Linked DNA regions of Callithrix jacchus. The protein of the gene in region 1 interacts with the protein of each later gene in a biochemical or structural test. Links are inferred from orthologs where the notes say so. Each region holds a gene or a part of one and is shown in the gene's direction. Other genes may lie near its edges. The genes, in order: CLTB, HIP1R and HIP1.

Region 1 (3,645 bases):
TGTTGGACTCTGGGGATGTAGCAGTGAACAGGACAGAGATGATGTTCTGATGGCAGAGACAGACAGATAAACACATTATAAAGTCAGGTCCTCTTAGGCCGGGTGCAGTGGCTCAGGCCTGTAATCCCAGCACTTGCGGGGGGTGGGGGCAGGCAGATCACCTTCGGTCAGGAGTTTGAGACCAGCCTGGCCAACATGGTGAAACCCCATCTCTACTAAAAATACAAAAAATGAGCTGGGTGTCGTGATGGTCCCCTGTAATCCCAGCTACTTGGGAGGCTGAGGCAGGAGAATCACTTGAACCTGGGAGGTGGAGGTTGCAGTGAGCCGAGATTGCGCCATTGCACTCCAGACTGGGCAACAGAGTGAGACTCCATCTCTTTCTTTTTTTTTTCTCTCTTTTTAGTTTTTTTTTTTTTTTAAAGACGGGGTTTCACCATTTTGGTTAGGCTGGTCTTGAACTCCCGACCTCAGGTGATCCGCCCCCCCTTGGCCTCCAAAGTGCTTGGATTACAGGTGTGAGCTACTACGCCCAGCCTAGACTCCGTCTCAAAAAAAAGAAAAAAAAAAGAAAGGACCTAGAAATAGAAATTGTATTTGACCCAGCAATCCCATTACTGGGTATATATCCAAAGGATTATAAATCGTTCTACTATAAGGACACATGCACACGAATGTTCATTGCAGCACTGTTTACATGGCAAAGACCTGGAACCAACCCAAATGCCCATCGATGATAGATTGGATAGGGAAAATGTGGCACATATACACCATGGAATATTATGCAGCCATCAAAAACGATGAGTTCGTGTCCTTTGTAGGGACATGGATGAACCTGGAAACCATCATTCTCAGCAAACTGACACAAGAATAGAAAATCAAACACCACATGTTCTCACTCATGGGTGGGTGTTGAACAATGAGAACACAATGGACACAGGGAGGGGAGCATCATACACTGGGGTCTGTTGGGGGGAATAGGGGAGGGACAACACAGGGTGGAGAGTTGGGGAGAGATAGCATGGGGAGAAATGTCAGATATAGGTGAAGGGGAGGAAGGCAGCAAATCACACTGCCATGTGTGTACCTATGCAACAGTCTTGCATGTTCTTCACATGTACCCCAAAACCTAAAATGCAATTTAAAAAAAAAGAAAAAGAAAAAAATAAAAAAAAAACAAATAAATAATTTAAAAAAAAAAGAAAAGATAAAGTGAGGACTAAGTGTTAGGAGTTAACAGAACCACAATAGAGAGTGATTTTAATGACCGTAGAACAAGGGACTCACTATGCCAAGCAGGGTTCTAAGCTTTTTATAATTTTAACTCCTTTCATCCTTATGTCCTCCCTTTGGGGTGCATACTGTTATTTAGCCCATTTTATGACAAAGAAAGTGGCTAGCACACGGTTTCTTGAGTCTCCTGCTTGGAGGGTATCAAAACCTATGACTGGGCTGAGGGCAATGATCAGGCACAGAGAGGGTGAGTAACTTGCCCGCAGTCACACAGGTGGAGGAGTGTTGCTGGCAGAGGGAACAGCAAAGGCAAAGGGAGGCATAGTCACCGGAGACAGTGGGTATGAGGTTGTTTGAAGCTGAGTTACCCAGACGTGAGCAGGGCCCCAGTAGGGGCAGCAGAGACAGCGGGGTGGGTGTGCCAACTGGGCAGACTGCTGCGTATTTGTGTTCTAGGAGGCCAATGGTCCTGCTGACGGCTACGCAGCCATTGCTCAGGCTGACAGGCTGACCCAGGAGCCTGAGAGCATCCGAAAGTGGCGAGAAGAGCAGAGGAAACGGCTGCAAGAGCTGGGTGAGGGCAGGCCTGAGGTGGGGGTGGGCTGTGTGTGGGGAGGCCTGGGAGTGCATGGAACCCTGCATGCCTTAATGTGGGACTGGGCCTGGGCGACCCTGAGGTGCCTGGCAGGGGCCAGGGGAGGAGCAGCCAGGGTGGCCAGGCCTGTGCATCCCAGCTGGAAAGCAGCCGCTCATTCTCCTGTGGGGTCCCAGATGCTGCATCTAAGGTGACAGAACAGGAGTGGCGGGAGAAGGCCAAGAAGGACCTGGAGGAGTGGAACCAGCGCCAGAGTGAACAAGTAGAGAAGAACAAGATCAACAACCGGTGAGAGGGCTGTGGGGACATGAGGGGGCCAGAGGGACATGAGGGGGCCAGAGGGACATGAGGGGGCTGTGGGGACATGAGGGGGCCATGGGGACTTGAGGGGGTCTTGAGGACATGAGGGAGCCAGCTGTGGGGATGTGAGGGGGCCGTGGGGACATAAGGAGGCTGTGGAGTTGTGAGGGGGCTGTGGGGACATGGGGGGGCAGCTGATGGGATATGAGGGGGCTGTGGGGACATGGGAGGCTGTGGAGATGTGAGGGGGCTGTGGGGAGGTGAGGGGGCAGAGGGGATGTAAGGGTGCCATGGGGACGTGAGGGGGCCGTGGGGACATAGGGGGGCAGCTGATGGGACATGAGAGGGCTGTGGGGACATGGGGGGGCTGTGGAGATGTGAGGGGTCGTGTGGAAGTGAGGGGGAAGAGGGTATGTAAGGGTGCTGTGGGGATATGGGGGGCAGCTGATGGGACGTGAGGGGACTGTGGTATGGGGGACGGTCTGGAGGGGCTGGTTTGGTGATGGGAGCAGGGAAGAAGGGAAACCCCAGGGCTGCTTCCTCATTTGCTCGTGGAGTTCAGGGCCCCCTGGAGCTGCTCCACCATGGAGGCCTCACCTGTTTTCAAGAGGAAGCTGAGTCTGCGAGGCAGCTAAAGGGGCCCAGGGCCCTGGAATGCCAGCAAGTCTGTCCAGGCCTCAGCAGCCAACAGTGAGGTGTGGCCCTCTGTGGCCAGAGTTAGGATCAGAGACAGCACAAGCTGCACTGAGGGTGAAGAAGAGACTTGTGAATGGGATTTTACTGCTGGAGAAATGCCACCCTGAGTGGCTAAAGGATTAAAAAAAAATCACAGGCTGTATAACTACAAAGGCCAGGGGTAGGATGGTGGGCACTGGGGCGCGAGGGGCTCCAGTGAAGTCCATCCACCCTCACTCACTGCGCCCGCTGTCCTTTCCTCCAGCTGCGCTTCACTGTCGGGCCTGCACCCTGGTGTGGAGGGAAAGATGGCCAGCAGCAACTCCAGGCTTCTGCCCTATTCTCTTGGCAGCCCTAGTGAAAATAGCATCTTGTGCCCTAGAGCTCCAGCTCAAGTCCTCGGCCCGACCCTCACTGGCTTGGACCATGCCAGGCCCAGTGACTAGCCAGGGGGCCCTAGTCTGGGTGATAGTCCCATTCCTTGGGTTGTGCATAGGGATCAGTCCCACTCAAACCACAGGGACCGAAGCTGGGGCAACCTGTTCCAGCAGAGGACAGTCAGGGTGCCCTTCCTGGAAGAAGAGGCATGAATGCTGGGCAGGTGAAGACAGCAGATGCCCAGCAGAGAACACCTTTGTGGAAATGGTCTCAGATTGAATACTGCCCAGTGCTCCCTGCCTTTTAGGCTACCCTCTTCAGGGTCCAAGATCTTCCAGGAAGGGAAAGGCCTGCTCTAGGAGACAGCTACCCTTCTGTCCAGAAAACTGCTGCATGCCAGGCTCTGGGGTAGGCATTAAGGAGATGGAGATAAGGAAGACCCAGTCTTATGTCCTCAAAGGGCG
Region 2 (4,374 bases), on another chromosome or scaffold:
GTGAGACAGTTTAACAAATGTTGAGCCTGGTGCCCGGCACAGTAATAGGCTCTATGATTATTTAAAGAGACTGTTGCTAATGGGAAGTCACTGTGGCAGATGTGCTAGACCCAATGGGGCTGCTGCCTGATTGAAAAGGGACCCTGTGTATGCGTGAAGGGTCACATGAGAACCACTTTTGTTCCATGTGGAAATAGGAGTGTGATAAATAGCTGGAGTACAGCAAAGAAGCCCCTTGACTGTGGTCTTTATTTCACCACAGCTATTGACCAAGTTGCAGAGGATTAAAAACCCTTTACATATAAAGGGTTGAGCCCAGGGCCTGTCAAATAATAAGCATTCAATACATATTAGCTATTGTGATTTTATTGTTGTTCTGGTAAAGAAGCTTTTTAGTGGTTGGAATTAGAGAAAACAGGATTAATATTTCCTTTTGGTGGAGTGAGACAGCCTTGGCAATTGTACATTTTGGCGTCAGCTCTAGCTCTTGGGCTGGAGAGTGAGGAATCAGGTTAAAGAAAAGGGTCCCTGATCTCAGACAGGTTACGTCTCACCAGGGAGACAAGGGTCAAGCTTCTGTGGGCATCATTTTCCTTCTTACAGGTAGGTAGGTGATCCGTCCCCCTTCAAAAGCAAGGGATCTTTATGCACGAGTCCACATCTGCATTCTGATAGGAAAGGGAAACAGCAGAAACAAAATACTCATCTGAGAGCTACGCTTAGGAAGGACTCTGGGCTTCTATTTTTTTACTTCTTGTGACCAGTAATTTTAAGGGGAAGCCAATAATAATAATAATGTTTTTTAAAAAACCTCATGCCACCCCCGGCGGCAACTCCTTGGTGTGTACTTTGTCGTTCAGATCCGCTCGCCTTCTGTCCCAGCCTAATTCCGCCTGGCCTCAGCCCCCATTGTCCTTGGAGCTGGCGAGGTGTCCGGTTGCGGAGCCGGCCGCGTCTCTGGAAATGCATCCTGCATCCCTGCGTGGATAACAGCTGCAGCTGTGTCGGAGATGCACAAAGAGGGGAGAATGTCATTGTGTGTCTTTTGACACATACATTAAGACCAAAAAGGAAAAAAAAGTCTATCTGTGCTGCTACCGACCAGAATCATGGAGGCCAGATTTTCTCCAATTAACCAGATCTTGCCCTGGTGTAGACAAGACTTAGTGAGTTCGGGGAAGAGAGGGGAGGGAATTGGCCGGGATCCCTACCGGAGGGAGGGATTCCGCTTCCCCCTGCCCTTCTCTCCGGGTTTAGGGAGGCGATTAGAGGTGGGGAGGGGCTGGGGGCGTTTGGCCTGTGCCCCAATCTGGTGAGTGGTGTGGGGTTGGAGGTGTGCGGGGGGCGGAGCGTGTGCCGGGGTCGCCGCGGGTCGGGGGGTGGGGGCGTGCGGGGGGGAGGGGTGTGTCCCAGGTCGCGGGGGGTGGGGTTGGAGGTGTGCGGGGGAGGGGCGCGCTCTGGAGTTGGGGGCGGGCACGGCGTTTGCGGGCGCATGGGCGGGGCGCGCGGCGGGCGGGGAGAGGCGGGCTCCTCCCCGGCGGGCGGGCCCTGGTGCGGCGCGGCGGCCTCGAGGTGCCTAGGCAGGGGCTGCCGGGCAGTGAGGCGCGGAGTCGCGCGGACGGAGCCAAGCGGGAGCGGTCGGTGGCAGCAGGATGAACAGCATCAAGAACGTGCCGGCGCGGGTGCTGAGCCGCAGGCCGGGTCACAGCCTGGAGGCCGAGCGCGAGCAGTTCGACAAGACCCAGGCGAGCGGGCGGCGGGCGGCGGGCGGCGTCCCTGTTCACTCACGCGCGAACCGCCGGGGCCCGGGAGGCGCCCCGCAGGGGCTGGGGACCGCGCGGGAGCGGGGCCTGGGTCCGCCTGGGCGCTCCGAGAGCTCCGCGGCCGCCCCCCTCCGGCCTCCGCGGCCCGAGCCGCCCGGAGCGCAGGTGAACCGGAAGCCGCGCTCCCCGCTCCCGCCGGGCGCTCGGGCCCAGAGGCGCCGGGGCTGAGGTGGCCGGAGACGGAGATGGGGCCGGGGACGGAGATGGGGCCGGGGACGGGGGTGGGGCCGGGGACCGAGATGGGGCCGGGGACGGGAGTGGGGCCGGGGACCGAGATGGGGCCGGGGACGGAGGTGGGGCCGGGGACGGGAGTGGGACCGGGGTTAGGTGTGTGCGGGCCCAGCGCGCAGGGGGCCGAGGGGACCCGGGGTCCAGGTGCTCCCGGGGCCGGCGCGTTCCGACTGTGGGTCTCCGCCCTTCGGTACGGCTTATTGCCGGCTCCTGCCGCGGTCTCCCACCCCCTGAAACTGATGCCCCCACGGGCAGTTTCCTTAAAGGAAATTCCTTAAACACCCAGCTTCCGTCTCTCGTGAGTGGTTTCCCAGGGCTGCACAGTCTCCTATTATTTGCTGGGTGAAGCTTCTCGTATGTCGCCAGACTTGTTTGCCGGAGCGCTGCCCACGTATAAATAGGTGCACACCCCCTCATTAAACACCGGCGCCCGACAGACAGAAACTTCCTGGGGCTCCCTTCCTGCCCCTCCCACGCCTGCGTCTCTTCCAGATGATGCCTATCCTGGGAAGATTTTAGACATTAAATGAGGGCGCGGGTTTGCCTTTTGTACTTGTGTTTGTGCCGGGGACCCGCGATGGAGACGTTGCTGCGTTTCTGGTTTCCTGTTGCTTTGTATTTGACAAACTCTTGAAATATTCTCAGGCTTGGGGGATGGGCGGTGGAGGGGGGGCATACTTGTTTATTTGCCAAAATAAGTCAACCAAGACTGAAATGGCTGAAAAATTTTACTCCAGAGATAAAGGAAGCCAGAGGACCCCTCCCACCCCTATCTAAAGCAGGTTGGTGACATTTGCATTTGTGGCTATTTGCAAGTTCCGGCCCACTTGTCCTTGCGGAGAGCCCTGACTCCTGTGGTTGCCTTCACATCTAATTAGCAAATGCACTTTACTACAGCTTTCGTTTTGAAATGAGAGAGAACGCAGGAAGACCGTATAGCCTTTGTGCTTGGGATTGACCCTGAAAGCGATAAGTCCTGAGGATATCAAGGCTTTAGAAATGCCAAGTGCTGGAACCCACCTGGCGGCAAATTATCAGTTTATTCTTGTGATCATCATCACCACCATCATCTGGTTCAGCCCCGATAGCCCTTCATTTTAAAGTATGGCATTTAATTTAGAGTCACCAATACATAATTAATTGTGCCAGGAACTTGTAGATCATAGAGAGAAAACTTTAGTTGGCAGACAGATCTGGATGTTCTAAGAAACTGTTTATTGGTCTAAGGCCATATCACCCGGAACGCGCCGAATCTCGTCTGATCTCGGAAGCTAAGCAGGGTCGGGCCTGGTTAGTACTTGGATGGGAGAAACTGTTTATTGACTGAGTTTTAGATTTTTCTCCTGCTCTTGAGGTATAAAGAGGTCTGATTGCTACATGGAGGAGATGGAATGTGAAGGACCAAGTTCATTGATCTTACGCTTAAATAAGAAGCCAAGGGCAACCTCTTGAATGTCAAAGAGAGAATCTGATACAGGACCACACATTTTGGTGGTTTGTTTGGTACACAGAAAGGTGGATTTTTTTTTTTTTTTTTTTAAAGACAGAGTCTTACTCTGTTGCCCAGGCTAGAGTGCAGTGTTATGATCTCGGCTCACTGCAACCTCTGCCTCCTGGGTTCAAGTAATTCTCCTGCCTCAGCCACCTGAATGGCTGGAACTACAAAGCGTGTGCCACCACACCTGGCTAATTTTTGTGTGTAGTTTTTTGATTTTTGGAGATGGAGTCTCGCTCTGTTACCAGGCTGGAGGGCAGTGGCGTGATCTTGGTTCACTGAAACTTCTGCCTCCTGGATTCAATCGATTCTCCTGCCTCAGTCTCCCAAGCAGCTGGGACTACAGGCACACGCCACCACGGCCAGCTAATTTTTGTATTTTTAGTAGAGATGTTATTTCACCATGGTGGCCAGGCTGGTCTTGAACTCCTGACCTCAGGCGATCCACCTGCCTCACCTCTGCCAGAGTGTTGGGATTACAGGCATGAGCCACGGTGCCTGGCCAAAGGTGGATTGTTTTATTTTATTTTGCTCTGGGTTTTTCTCAAAGGCTTAGAGGGTCATATACAATGAATAACTTTGTAATGAGTGAATCTCACGGGACTCACCTATTCCAGGTCCCTTTTCTGGAAAGATGGCGTTTGTGTTCATTGTCTGGGTTTGCTCATCTTCACAGTGACTTACTGAGGAATATAAGAATGAGGTTTTGTACGTGGTTAATATTTAATTAGATCATTCCCAGAAATAATCGAGTGAGCCAGCAGCCAGGCCCCTGGTGGAAAAGGACCTGGAGAGCTGAGGTTGCTACTTCCGTGTCTCCTTCGG
Region 3 (3,645 bases), about 60 Mb from region 1:
AAGAAAAGAGAAAGCATGACCAGGCGAAAGGGAAGGAATAGGGTGAGAGCTGGGAGGACGGAGGGAGCAGAAAGGGCCTCCTGGCTTCTGTATATGTGCGTCCTCTTGTTTTTCCTGTTGATTTCCTCACCCTTGGCCATAGCTCCCAAATGCCAAGTTCCAGCTTCTCTGGCCGCTTCCCCGGGAGCGAGCAAAGGACGAGTGTGTGGTGGTTCCCACCTCCTGGTGCCTCTGTTCCATTTGAGAAGCCGAGTACACATTCCAAGATAAATGGCTTCTTTAGTCCCAGGAGACAGGCCCTGGGGCTGATTTCCTGGAATGTGAAATTCCGGTAGCTTGCGAAAGCGCTCAGCCTGTTACTGTTGGCTCCAACCCAGCAAGATGGGGACGTGTGGTCAGGTGATTTCATTTCCTTTCATTTTCTTCTCGCTTATGAAAACATCTCCCCTGAGTAAATGGGAGCAGCCTTGCTGTTTCGCACAGCCACAGCCATCTGTCTGAGACCTCACTGTCCTTGAATTCAGGGGAAGTGGCAGTGATGTCACAGAGACCGGCCTACGTCTTGGTATCTGACAGGCTGCAAGGAGACCCCGGGGGGTTCATTTATTGGGCTAAGCTGGAGAAAATTCTGTGTTGCAGGCCGAAGGAGTTAAGGCCCATGTTCCCCTTTTATCTGAGAATAGATAAGTCTGAGCTGGGCATGATGGTTCCAACTACTTGGGAGGCTGAGGTGGGAGGATCGCTTGAGCCCAGGAGGTCAAGGCGGCAGTGAGCCATGATCATGCCACTATACTCGAGCCTGGGTGACAGAGTAGGACCCTATCAAAAAATACTTAAAAGTAATAAAGATAAAGAATATATACATCTGGATACTCTCAGCTTTCTTGGTCTTCAGTGTTTAGATTCAAAATAGATATTTGAGAATGAGAAAAAGATTTGCCAGGTGTGGGGGCTCACGCCTGTAATCCCAGCACTTTGGGAGGCCAAGGCAGTAGGGTTGCTTGAAGCCAGGAGTTTTGAGACCAGCCTGGTCAACACAGCAAGGCCCTGTTTGTACCAAAAAATTAAAAACCAGCCAGGCATGGTGGTGAATCCCTGTAGTTCTAGCAACTCGGGAGACTGAGGCAGGAAGACCGCTTGAGCCCCGGAATTTGAGGCTGCATGGGCTATGAGAAAATGCTGGTTTCTTCATGTGCGTGTCCACCCACGGTTAGGACACACTACCAAGCAACTGAAACACTCCAAGTGTTTACTGAATGGCTCCCCTGTTCCTGGCACTAGGGCAAACAGCTCAGCAGAGCTCGGTCCCTACTTCCCGGGAACTTACAGTGTAATTGTGGAGAGAACAAATAGTCCAGAAACAAGGAGAAGTAATTAAAGAAGAGCTACCTCTGTGATTAAATTCCCTTCCCTTCTCCTATGGTTACTTGGTTTATCCTCAGAGAAAGTCAATTTCTATTAATGTTACTCTAAACCAAGCACTCCTAGGAAGTTAAGTCTGCAAAACAACAGCATTTATCTACAGCAATGAAGAAACCGGCTTTCGGATTACCTCCACTTCCAGGATTTGTAGCACGAGCTACTCTTTCCTTACCACCAGGTCCCTGAGGACCAGCTTTAACTAATCCTTCTCTGTAGCATCATAATTGAATCCCAGTGCCATGGAGTTCATCTCCTTGACAGCCTGGGCCTTTGGGAAGGCCAGGTGGCTGCTCTGTCCCTTAAGGCACCCAGCAGCCCTCAGGCCCTTCTCCACCCCTAGGTTGAAAGATCTCTTCTACCGCTCCAGTAACCTGCAGTACTTCAAGCGGCTGATTCAGATCCCCCAGCTGCCTGAGGTAAGCGTGCCTGTCTACCTACCCTGGGCACTGCAGAGGCCCCAAGTACCCTCTTAGAGGCTGTCAGGGCCTGGCAAGTGAGCACTGTTTGAGGATGTGTCTCCGTCTTCAGAACCCACCCAACTTCCTGCGAGCCTCAGCCCTGTCAGAGCACATCAGCCCTGTGGTGGTGATCCCGGCGGAGGCCTCGTCCCCCGACAGCGAGCCAGTGCTCGAGAAGGATGACCTCATGGACATGGACGCCTCTCAGCAGGTGAGGACCAATTGGAAGAGGAACTTGGCCTTTCCTCTTGCCTCCAGGTACAGGGGAGAGGCTGGGGGAGACCCTGGCCAAAGCCCATTGACGCTAACCAGGTTCAGCCTTCTCTTCACCTAGTAGCAACCTTGGCTGAGCATCCTGCCCTGTGACTCCCAGAAGGATCATAAACGGGTCTGGATGGGTGCAGCGGCTCACAGCTATAATCCCAGCACTTTGCTAGGCCAAGGTGGGAAGATTGCCTGAGGCCAGTTCAAGACCAGCCTGGGCAACATAGGAAGACCCCATCTTTACAAAAATAAATTAGCCAGACGTGGTGGCACATACCTGTGGCCCCAGCTATGCAGTGAGCTATTATGCCACTGCACTCCAGCCTAGGCAAGAGGACAAGAGCCAGGACCTAAATAAATAAATAAATAAATAAAACCCAAAATAACAAAATTAGACAGGCATGGTGGTCTATACCTCTACTTCCAGCTACTCAGGAAGCTGAGCCAGGAGTTTGAGGCTGCAGTGAGCTATGATTGTACCACTGAACCCCAGCCTGGGCAGTAGAGTGAGAACCTGTCAAAAAAAAAAAAAAAATAGGCCAGATGCAGTGGCTCACTCCTGTAATTCTCAGCACTTTGGGAGGCTGAGGCAGGTGGATCACCTGAGGTTGGGAGTTCAAGACCAGCCTGACCAACATGGAGAAACCCTGTCTCTACTAAAAATACAAAATTAGCCAGGCGTGGTGGTGCATGCCTGTAATCCCAGCACTTTGGGAGGCCGAGGCGGGTAGATCACGAGGTCAAGAGATCGAGACCATCCTGGCCAACATGGTGAAACCCCGTCTCTACTAAAAATACAAAATTAGCCAGGCGTGGTGGTGCATGCCTGTAATCCCAGCACTTTGGGGGGCCGAGGCGGGTGGATCATGAGGTCAAGAGATCAAGACCATCCTGGCCAACATGGTGAAACCCCGTCTCTACTAAATACAAAAAAAATTAGCTGGGCATGGTGGCGCATGCCTGTAATCCCAGCTATTTGGGAGGCTGAGACAGGAGAATCGTTTGAACCCAGGAGGCAGAGGTTGCGGTGAGCTGAGAATGAGCCATTGCACTCCAGCCTGGGTAACAAGAGCAAAACTCCGTCTCAAAAAACAAACAAACAAACAAACAAATCGGTCTGAACCAAACAGAACAGGGCCATCCTCCCATGTCGCTCAGCTGACCCACACACAGTTCTCCGGCTCTCTGACTTACTCTCGCTCCGTTTTGGTCAACCACAGAATTTATTTGACAACAAGTTTGATGACATCTTTGGCAGCTCATTCAGCAGCGACCCCTTCAATTTCAACAGTCAAAACGGCGTGAACAAGGACGAGAAGTGAGTCCAAGCTGGCTTCAAGCAGATGGTATAGGAGCTAAGTTCAGCCATGGTCTGCCTCAAAACAGTAACCAAAGAGGAGGGGCTACTTAGACAAAGAACATCTTGAAGGGTCGGGTGCTGTGGCTCATGCCTATAATCTCAACATTTTGGGAGGATGAGGCAGGAGGATTGCTTGAGGCC

The links.
Region 2: the proteins of CLTB (region 1) and HIP1R form a complex in vitro, tested with the Homo sapiens proteins (2 studies listed by BioGRID). The link is inferred for Callithrix jacchus from reciprocal best matches to the Homo sapiens genes CLTB and HIP1R.
Region 3: the proteins of CLTB (region 1) and HIP1 form a complex in vitro, tested with the Homo sapiens proteins (2 studies listed by BioGRID, with this or other methods). The link is inferred for Callithrix jacchus from reciprocal best matches to the Homo sapiens genes CLTB and HIP1.

Annotation. Positions count from the first base shown.
Region 1 is NC_133503.1:70,816,375-70,820,019, forward strand, and holds part of CLTB (clathrin light chain B), read left to right. Parts: intron 1-1,689; coding exon 1,690-1,807; intron 1,808-2,004; coding exon 2,005-2,116; intron 2,117-3,645. UniProt on the Homo sapiens protein: Clathrin is the major protein of the polyhedral coat of coated pits and vesicles.
Region 2 is NC_133510.1:126,013,521-126,017,894, forward strand, and holds the start of HIP1R (huntingtin-interacting protein 1-related protein), read left to right. Parts: upstream 1-1,543; 5' UTR 1,544-1,652; coding exon 1,653-1,745; intron 1,746-4,374. UniProt on the Homo sapiens protein: Component of clathrin-coated pits and vesicles, that may link the endocytic machinery to the actin cytoskeleton. Binds 3-phosphoinositides (via ENTH domain).
Region 3 is NC_133503.1:10,475,914-10,479,558, reverse strand, and holds part of HIP1 (huntingtin-interacting protein 1), read left to right. Parts: intron 1-1,762; coding exon 1,763-1,838; intron 1,839-1,950; coding exon 1,951-2,091; intron 2,092-3,364; coding exon 3,365-3,462; intron 3,463-3,645. UniProt on the Homo sapiens protein: Plays a role in clathrin-mediated endocytosis and trafficking. Involved in regulating AMPA receptor trafficking in the central nervous system in an NMDA-dependent manner. Regulates presynaptic nerve terminal activity.